Drosophila melanogaster: one gene and its partner. The gene in region 1 interacts genetically with each later gene. Each region holds a gene or a part of one and is shown in the gene's direction. Other genes may lie near its edges.

Region 1 (5,329 bases):
ATTACCTGTTTTACAAATGACAAACGAAGGCACACTCATCTGGTAATAAAAACTGCCACTTGTAGGTTGATTTGCCATGCAATCACACTCAGCTCGCATGACAATAGAAAGTTTCTAACTCTGGGATTCTCAAGAAATTCCGATTTCCGCATAGTTCGACGACAGAACTATCAAGCTGAACCTTGCATCTAATTTGCAGTTCTATGCTGGGCGAATTCATGTAATGCAAATAGGAGTGTATGTCGATCGGTCGTTTTTAATGCCTGTAATTAGTATTCCCACCCATGTCTAAATTGAGATGCGTCATCACAGGTATTAAAAATTGTTTAGCTACAATTAGCGTCATTCAAGTTATTTGGCAGCTCGATAGGATCGAATGCTTTTAATAAAAACAATTGAACTGGACTTTGCCGCTTAAGTGTTTCTACAACAGTAACAGGTTAAATAATAAATGCAATTTTCAGCTTAACGTTAGGGGAGTGGCACGATATCTATTTACTCCCCCTTGTAGACGGGCTTCCGCTTCTCGGCAAAGGCAGCGAGTCCCTCCAAACGATCCTTAGTGGGTATCACCTGCGAGTAGCAGATCTCTTCGATGGAGTAGCCGGTGGCCAGGTCCACCTGCATGCCCTTGTCAATGGCCAGTTTGGCCATTCGCACGCCCACTGGCCCATTCGGGAGAATTTCCTCTGCCAATTTAAGTGCCTGCTGATAGGCGGCATCCTGGGTTTCGTTCTGTTTCACTACATGGTTAACCAGACCCAGATCTTTCGCCTCTGCTCCGTTAAACACTCGTGCCGTGAAAATGAGTTCTTTGGCCAGAGCAGGGGACAGAATGCGGGGCAGTCTTTGGGTGCCACCAGCTCCTGGTATGATGGCTAACCTTGTCTCCACCAGACCCATCTTCGTGTCGCTAGCAGCAGTCCGGATGTCACAGGCCAGAGCCATTTCCAGACCTCCGCCGAGAGCAGCTCCATCCACAGCGGCGATTACCGGCATGGGCAGCTGCTCAATGGCAATAAGCAGTCCCCTGAGCTCTTTTACAAATTCGGTGGCTTCCTCGGGAGTCATGCCTGGGATATATGTATAAGATAAGTTAGCTTTATCACAGGGATGTAAAATATTTAAGGATTAACCTTTTCGCTCTTTCAAATCCGCTCCGGCACAGAAGATTCCAGGGCTCAGACTCCTCAATACAACCACCCTCGATCCATTATCCTTCTTTATATCTTCCAGGACATCGTTGAAGGTCTCCACCATTCCCCGGCTAAAGGAATTCTTTGCTGCTGGTCGGTTTAGGCCAATAACTGAGATACCCTGCCGAGCTCCATCCAAACGCTCCACGAGAACTTCAGTTCCATCGCCATAGGGCGCTGCCGACGCCAAATTACGTGATGCAACAAGTGGCCGGGCTAACTGTCGAGCTAAACCAGACGCTCTTTTTATTAACATTGACATTTTAACGTTGAAAACAGATAAAAAGAAAGCAAGAAAAGGCAATAAGCTGATTATAAAACGACCGGCAGAAAACAGCTGTTGCCGCTGGTGCTGACAAAAGCTTAAAGCCACTATCGATAACAGTATTAAAGACACCAAGGCGGTTAATAACCGCGGTTGTTCACACTGCTTTAACATTTTACGGCATTCTTCTGACCAAATATATAAAATAGTAATATCAATGTATATGGATATAAAGATAAGCCGCTTTATAAGAATTATAATAAATGCTTTCATGGTACGAATTTTTAGATTTGCGATCTTTGTATTTATTTGCGTCTCCCACTCTTCAAAATGCTGCATAGTGAGAACAATTGATAAGCTCTGTAAGTGTGACCAAGCTGTTTCGGCATGAAAAGAAAACCACAACATCAACGGCCAAAGCACAGGCAAAAAGCGCCAGCCGGTGATGGTTAAATTTTCAGTATAAAAAATCGCCAATGTATATTTAAAGCATATTTGCAAGTACGCCCTCAACGCTCCAAGGATTGTGGCCCCAGGAACGATTGGAGCATTCCACAGAGCGACCCTATCCGGAGTAGTTACAACCGCAATTCGTTTTGCACCCGTTCCATTTGGCCCGCATGACGTAGTTTTGCGCTAGAGGAGAAACCACGGAGCACCCCCCACAATAGAAAAGAACTGATTGGAATCTATAGTGCGATAGTGACGCAGCGCGCCGTGTAAGCATTACCATATGTGTGGAAGAGATAAGCCTAATATGTATTCCTTTCCAGTGCAGGATGCTGTTGCGCGGCGTGCAGATCCTGCAGCGAAGACACCAGCACTTGGGAAAGGCTTTTAGCCAGTGCTCCTTACGTCAAGACGGCAGGAACCCTTGGAGGCGGCATGACGGCGAGGCATTCAAACTACAGCCGTGGAAGCGACCAAGCACGTTCCTTCAGTTTCGCTGCAGCGCCAATGGCAGTGATTCCAAGAAGGAAAAACCTGTGCAGGAGGAGGCCACCGCTGGTCCAGTTGCCAAGCCAAAGGAAACGAAAAACTTTGAGGTGAAGACCACAAAGGGCATCCTGTCTATCAGCACCACCATCGAGGACTCCAAAATTAACGAGATTGTGTTTGAAAAATCCGATCTGCCACCGGTAACGAAGGTGAAAGAGCCGGTTTTGGCCGCAAGTGCCATTAATCTACGTTCTACGTCTACTGGAGTAGCAACTGGTGCTGTAGGATTGGGAGAGAGCTCTGGTTCTGTTATGAATCCTCCTGAAACAGTGAAAAGCGCACCTAAAAATTCTCCGTCTGGTGCTGTGCTAGCTGAAAAGGCGGGAGAAGGTATTCGAACATCCCCACCTGCAGAGGTAACGCCTCCAGCGCCTGTGATTCCTCTAAAGCGACCCCGATTCGATTATCGTGCTTCCCTAGAGCGCAACTTTGTGACCCCCAACCGGGCCATCAGCGATTTCTTGTTGACCGCTGCTCAACTCGAAAGTCTGCCCAAGATCAAGCGGAGATCGCCGTACGAGCAGGAGCCACCCATGACTGTCTACTGGCGACGGGATGTGGAGGCTAAGGCCGTCGAAGTGTGGGGGTCCAAGGAAAATCTGTTGCGGGAGCGACTCAAGCGGGAGGTGGAGCGCAAGCAATACCAGCAGAGTAAGTGTTTTTGTGTCCTGTGTCCGTTCTACCTTTAATATGGGTGCTAAAGTCTATGACTCCGCAGATCTATTCACTGTTAAACGGCGGTTGCGTGACTACCGCAGGGAAATGGGATCTCGAACCAAAGTAATGCTCGACAACAGAAAGGAGTCGGAGAAGTCCGGGCAAGTGGTGGCCACCGCCATCGCTATGTGAGTTATATTACTTAAGAAACTAAAGTTTCTATGAATAAGATCTGTTCCTTCTAGCAATGCAGCCAATTTGCTTTTCAAGGCAGGAGGTTGGCTGTACAGCGGTTCTCACAGCATGTTTGCAGAAGTTATCCATTCTTTGGCCGACTTAATCAACCAGCTCATCCTCGCGTTTGGCATCTACAAGTCCTCTCAGAGTCCCGATATAGATCATCCATATGGATACATGAACATGCGATATGTTTCCTCGCTGATTTCGGGCGTTGGCATCTTTTGCGTTGGCTGTGGCCTGTCCATATACCACGGTATTGATGGCATTCTCCATCCGGAACCCATAACAGATCTATTTTGGGTGTACTGTATCTTGATGGGATCATTAGTTTCTGAGGGAGCCACATTGGTGGTGGCCATTAATGAGCTTAAGCGATCGGCTAAGGAAAACAATATGTCCTTTAAGGATTATGGTGAGTTTAGCATGTGTAATATGAACATAAATCATAATGCTTATTTTACAGTGATTTCTGGCAAGGATCCGTGCGTGAATGTGGTGCTGTGTGAAGACGCTGCAGCGGTAACTGGCGTTATGGTGGCTGCAGCTTGCATGGGATTAAGTAGTTACACAGGATCGCCCATCTTCGACGCCGCTGGTTCACTGGTTATAGGTGCTCTTCTGGGCGCTGTGGCCTCTTTTATTATTTATACAAATGCCAATGCGTTGGTGGGGATATCCATTGCTTCCGAGCGCCTAGAAAAGATTAACTCTGCTTTGGAGGCTGATGTAATGATCAGAGCGATTTACGATGTCAAGGGAATCGATATTGGCAATGCTCGGGTTCGGTATAAGGTAAAACCTTGCTCTTAAAGGGCTTCAATGAGACTAAAGTTCATTTCCATAGGCTGAGCTCGACTTTGACGGCCGTGAGCTGACCCGTTCGTATCTGGACAAACAGGATCTCGCAAAACTGCTCACGGTACGTGGTATTGACCCATTTCTGGGCCTGTCATTGACCGGTTTTTGTTTACCCCCGCAGACGGTTCGAGGCTTTCAAAAGGTTGAGGATCTGGAGAGCTTTCTGCTGGATCAAGGCGAAAACATTGTGGACCTGATGGGCGGCGAAATTGATCGCATTGAGATGAACTTGCGGGTTAGCTAAAATGGATGATAATCTAGTTATTCTTATTAAACGTATATACTTTAAATTTTAACAGACACAATTCCCGGAAATACGCCATGTGGACCTGGAAATACTCTAATCGCCCTCTATTCGCCTGGGGGACTGTTAAATACATAAAGCATTGGGTGATTTGGTTGCTTTCTATAAGAAATTATTGCCTGTCTAGCATATATTTATTTCCCATTGTGTACTTCTAGATATAAACCTAAAACTAAGCATTAAAAGTGTATTGTCGCGGGCTTGACAGGAGCCCGTGGTTTGAATATATCTGTTTCTTAACGTAGTTTGTTGAATTAAAAAGCCTAGATATTCCTTCACATCCCGTGTTTATAAATAGTGCACTTATTGTGAAATGTTTTCCCTTTCTGGTACCACGGGTCGGAGGTCAACGAAAGCAACAATTTCGACGGACGAAGCGCTCTGTAGCGCACTTCCCTCTGTGTGCGAATAGATTTCGATCTTTAACAGCGTTTTGCTTTCACTGTTAAAAGTCTGCGGCTCAGCGTCCGCTGTTTGGGAATTTTTTTCAGTCTGAGTTGGCGCGTGAATTAAAACGGTTGGCGGTAGGTGTACGCTTAGTGCCGAATAAATAAATATTATTTCCGATTCTATGTGCACATAAATAATTTGCACATACAGCAGAGCATATATATGCACAGTATATTGAAGTTAATTGACAAATACAAATTTTTGAAATATAAAATCGAAGACAAAACTCATGCACAACAAACCCTAACAAGTTAACATGTTAAATAAGCATTGCCTGCGATTTGTTTGTTCGTTTAATTAATTCCAAAATCAAGTAAAGTAAATAAACGTTCGAGTGGTAAAGAGCGTGAACTTTACTAA
Region 2 (4,464 bases), on another chromosome or scaffold:
TTCACGATGGTGAGTTCGCTGCTACTAAATTCTGCGAAAATAATAGTTTTTCACTGTGAAAGTGGCCCGCAAATGGAGGCAAAATATGAGTGAAGTGCCGCCCCAGGGCTGGGCCATGAAAACAACACCCAGCTCAAGTGGGAAAATGTGAAAATGCGGGCAAAAAACAAAAGCATGCCTTAACCTCGAAAGCAAGCAACTCCAGGTGCTGCTCAATGGTGGTCAATGGGGTTTATTTATGTCTGGGATTCAAGTGCAAGTTGTTAATACAAGCCCGTTTTTCTTTGCAACATTCCAGCCGCCTAAGAAGGACGCGAAGTCTTCGGCCAAGCAGCCGCAAAAGACACAAAAGAAGAAGGAGGGATCCGGCGGCGGCAAGGCCAAGAAGAAGAAGTGGTCCAAGGGAAAAGTCAGGGACAAGCTGAACAACCAGGTGCTGTTCGACAAGGCCACCTACGAGAAGCTGTACAAGGAAGTGCCCGCCTACAAGCTGATCACCCCATCGGTGGTCTCCGAGCGTCTGAAGATCCGCGGCTCCCTGGCCAAGCGTGCTCTCATCGAGCTGCGCGAGAAGGGTACGTTTCCTTACGCTTCCTACCTTTTCGTTAGCATAAATCCTAATGGCACTCTTCTTTGCTTTCAGGTCTGATCAAGCAGGTCGTGCAGCATCATTCCCAGGTCATCTACACACGTGCCACCAAGGGTGATGAGGCGTAAATGAATGTTTTACCTTTTGCCCATCTCGCATCGCCGTAGTCGCACTCGCCTTACAATAGAACTCTGTATCGATAGCACTACGATGCCGCTGTGTGTGTAACGTTGAATAAACTTGCTTTCTTATTGATGTAAGGGACATTTGCGTGATGTTTAATTGATATAAAGATATACCCTCTTATAGAGGGATGTATCACTGAGCGCTGGTTTCAAGATGTCGAGCCGGAGTTATACGGCTGGGAATGTAAAATATCATATAGCCCAAAAACTATTGTTCTTACAAATCGAACAGCTGACGTGCAATATATTTGCAAATCAGGATATCAAGAATTCTTATAATAGCAATTATTATTCATTGCAATGTGCGTTTAATCAAAAATACTTCTAAGAAAGTGAACATTTCATTAATGTCTTTCAAGTTTGTTATCAATGAGGAACTATTTTTAAAACAGCCGCTGAAATGTATTTTTTAGTTGAATTTAGCACTTTGAATGGTTATCATTTGAATACAAACAGTAAAATCATGATTCATTTGCTGTAATTCACATCAGCAAGAATTTGGTTATTTTCACTTATATTAAATAATATTTGTTTATAAAAAAATAACGAATTCCCAATAAGAATTAGTACTAATCTTCTTCTTGCTCTCAAGCCATTCACCCTCTCAGTTTTCACGTGACAGTGAGTACTCAATTGTAACTTCATAATTGACGACAAAATGAAGTCAAAAGAAAAGCCATTGAAGTTTATTAAAGTTTCATTCAATAAGGTATAAAAATTAGAAACTGGCAATTCTTAATACATGATTAAAGTGAAAAATAATAATAATCAAAAGACCGCAATAAATCAAACTTCCTTAGAATTTATACTTTTCAAACAAAATGCCGGAAGATCTAACTAAAAAGCGACCAGTAAAATGAATACCCAACAAACTTTCAGTGGTGCACTTACTGTGGCCATTTGCCATTCACAACGAAGCGCTGCTTTCGTTCGGACGAAATGTTTACGTGGTTACCATTATTTTGATGACAACACGGCAGATTGGTTTGGTGCTGGCAAAGACGGGAGTTCGGTTCTGGTATCTGGTACCCAGTAAAAATGAATTAAGCTGCAGCTGAATCGCAGATCGACGAGCCCGCGCCGCACAACTGCGCACACAAGACGACGACGACGACGAAGTCGCGCAGGAAGCATTTTGCTTGTGAGATAATTTGGGAATCAAAGAAAAGAGACCTGCCGCCGCCGCCGTTGCCGATAAAGATTCTCGCGAACCCGGCCAGAAGCGGAGTGGGAATCACGGAATCAGCTGGAGCGCGGCTATAGCCAACCGATAATACCACGTATGCAAACAAAGTGTGCTTTCTTAGTTAGGTGCTTAGATCTCATGTTGGTCTCGTGCTCTTTTGCAGATCCATAACCGGCAAGATGATACCGCTGTCGCACAAGGACCGGAGCAGTCTGGGCTACCGGATCCGGGAGAAGCTCAACAGCTGGAAACGACTCATCTTCTCCGACCGCAACTCCCGGAATCTGTTCCTCTTTCTGCTGCTCAACCTGAGCTTCGCCTTCGTGGAGCTCTTCTACGGCATTGTGACGAACAGTTTGGGTGCGTACTTGGCCACTAATGGCTTTTTATCTTATCCGCAGTTTATAACCTACTTGATGGTTAATCCGCAGGCCTGATCTCCGACTCATTCCACATGTTCTTCGACTGCACTGGCCTCTTGGCGGGACTGGCCGCGTCGGTTATCACCAAGTGGAAGGCCAACGACAAGTTCTCCTACGGCTATGTGCGCGCCGAGGTGCTGGCCGGCTTCGTGAATAGCCTGTTCCTGTTGTTCATAGCCTTCTTCATTCTGTCGGAGGGCGTGGAGCGACTTATCGAACCGCCGGAGGTCAAGCACGAGCGTCTGTTTGTCGTCTCCGTGCTGGGACTGCTGGTGAACCTGGTGGGCATCTATGCCTTCAATCACGGCGGACATGGACACTCGCACGGTGGACACGGACACTCCCACGGTGGTGGTCATGGGCACGGGCACTCGCACGGCCACACGGACGCCGGCAATCACAATCACCAAGCCATCACCTTGGACAATGGTAACTGCAGTTGGAGATTATATCTTATTATATTGACTAGGAATGGGACAATATTCTAATAACCCCTTTTTAAATCCGCCCATTTCTAGGCCATGGACACTCACACGATCACGACAGCCATGGCCACTCGCACGGCGACATGTCGGGCAGCAACTCGCAGATCATGCGCGGCGTCTTCCTGCACATCCTGGCGGACACTTTGGGTTCGGTGGGCGTGATCATCTCGGCGGTGCTGATGCACATGTTCGGCTGGATGATAGCGGACCCCATTTGCTCCATCTTCATAGCCTTGCTGATAGCGCTCAGTGTGCTGAGTCTGATCAAGGAGTCGATCATGATCCTGATGCAGCGACAACCCGCCGACCTGGACCGATCGCTGCCGCAGTGCTATCAGAAAGTCACCGGCCTGGCTGGCGTTTACGCTGTGCAGGAGCCGCACTTCTGGACCCTTTGCTCCGATGTCTATGTGGGCGCACTCAAGCTGGAGGTGTCCAAGAACGTCGATCCCAAGTACGTGGTGACGCACACACGGATGATCTTTGAGGCGGTGGGCGTCAAGCAGATCTACATACAGTTGGATTATGTTTGATGCCAATGGGATCGACCCACCGGTGTCCTTGTACAATGATCTGTATAGTTATCAGCGCATGTTGAATGTTTGTGGGCAGTGCGACTCAAACATTATGAAATTTTAGTATACTACGGCGCCACAATACCCCGCCCATCACTTCCGAATGTCCCCTCCAAGAGCTAAGTAAAAGAAAGTGTTTGATTTTCAGTTGTACTTTCCGAATTTTTGTTAACTTATTAACGTTTGTATTTGTTGAAATGCGTTCGGCATTCATTCCAATTCTATACATACTGAAAGCATGGCATAACTTATGCAATAGTCCATATCGAGGAGCATTAGTGTAATTGTAAGCTAAGCGAAAGATTTTGTGCAAAGGTAAATATAAATATTTAAAGATTTTTTAAAATTCAGCATGAACAAAACCAGAAAATAGCAACTAATTCTGACTGACATTTCCATGGACATTCCGCCGTGCGGTGGAAGTGCATTTGGTGAATCGTTTTTGCCACAGTTTGAAGCATCAAAATTATGAACGAAATAAAATTTAATTTGTTATTAGCATTTTTATACGTAAACCGAACTGAAAGAAGTTTTAATTCCGGTTGGATGGGTACTTATCATTCGTTTTTTGTTGGGTACAAACAAATAACCAATTAACATATTCGATTAGATTAACCTATTTCAATTATTTACAAAAGATTCCCATTGAAAATAATCTGCTATTGAACTGCCCAGTTTACTACTTCTTTACAAAAATATAATTTAATTTGAAAGACCACAAAATAAACCAGAATTGTATAGCTTGTTGTTCTCCTTATTGTTAAAAAGTTTTCTTGGAACAATACTCCATTTCAACAACGCTTCATAAGAATGGAAAGGTACATAAATAGACACATATGTATGTATATTAAAAACCATTAAATTCAACAATGTATGAGAATAGCGAAGAAAAACTTTTAGCTTTTTATCCCGAAAATGGTTCTATTTCAACTAGATTCAAATACTTGAATAAAATATTCTTTACAATTTTAGGAAAATATATTGTGCTTTTCAAAAAAATTGTTTTCGAACATCAGACAATA

The links. A genetic interaction does not mean that the proteins touch.
Region 2: of ZnT49B (region 1) and ZnT86D, changing one enhances a phenotype caused by changing the other (phenotypic enhancement), as found in Drosophila melanogaster (one study listed by BioGRID).

Annotation. Positions count from the first base shown.
Region 1 is NT_033778.4:12,650,948-12,656,276, forward strand, and holds ZnT49B (zinc transporter 49B), read left to right. Parts: upstream 1-1,857; 5' UTR 1,858-2,180; intron 2,181-2,234; 5' UTR 2,235-2,240; coding exon 2,241-3,111; intron 3,112-3,163; coding exon 3,164-3,305; intron 3,306-3,362; coding exon 3,363-3,769; intron 3,770-3,820; coding exon 3,821-4,149; intron 4,150-4,201; coding exon 4,202-4,276; intron 4,277-4,336; coding exon 4,337-4,450; intron 4,451-4,514; coding exon 4,515-4,559; 3' UTR 4,560-4,796; downstream 4,797-5,329. Other genes in the region: CG8778 (uncharacterized protein), read right to left, coding at 496-1,073, 1,137-1,458.
Region 2 is NT_033777.3:11,211,804-11,216,267, reverse strand, and holds ZnT86D (zinc transporter 86D), read left to right. Parts: upstream 1-1,728; 5' UTR 1,729-2,054; intron 2,055-2,123; 5' UTR 2,124-2,139; coding exon 2,140-2,320; intron 2,321-2,391; coding exon 2,392-2,811; intron 2,812-2,900; coding exon 2,901-3,400; 3' UTR 3,401-3,960; downstream 3,961-4,464. Other genes in the region: RpS25 (ribosomal protein S25), read left to right, coding at 7-9, 299-575, 644-717.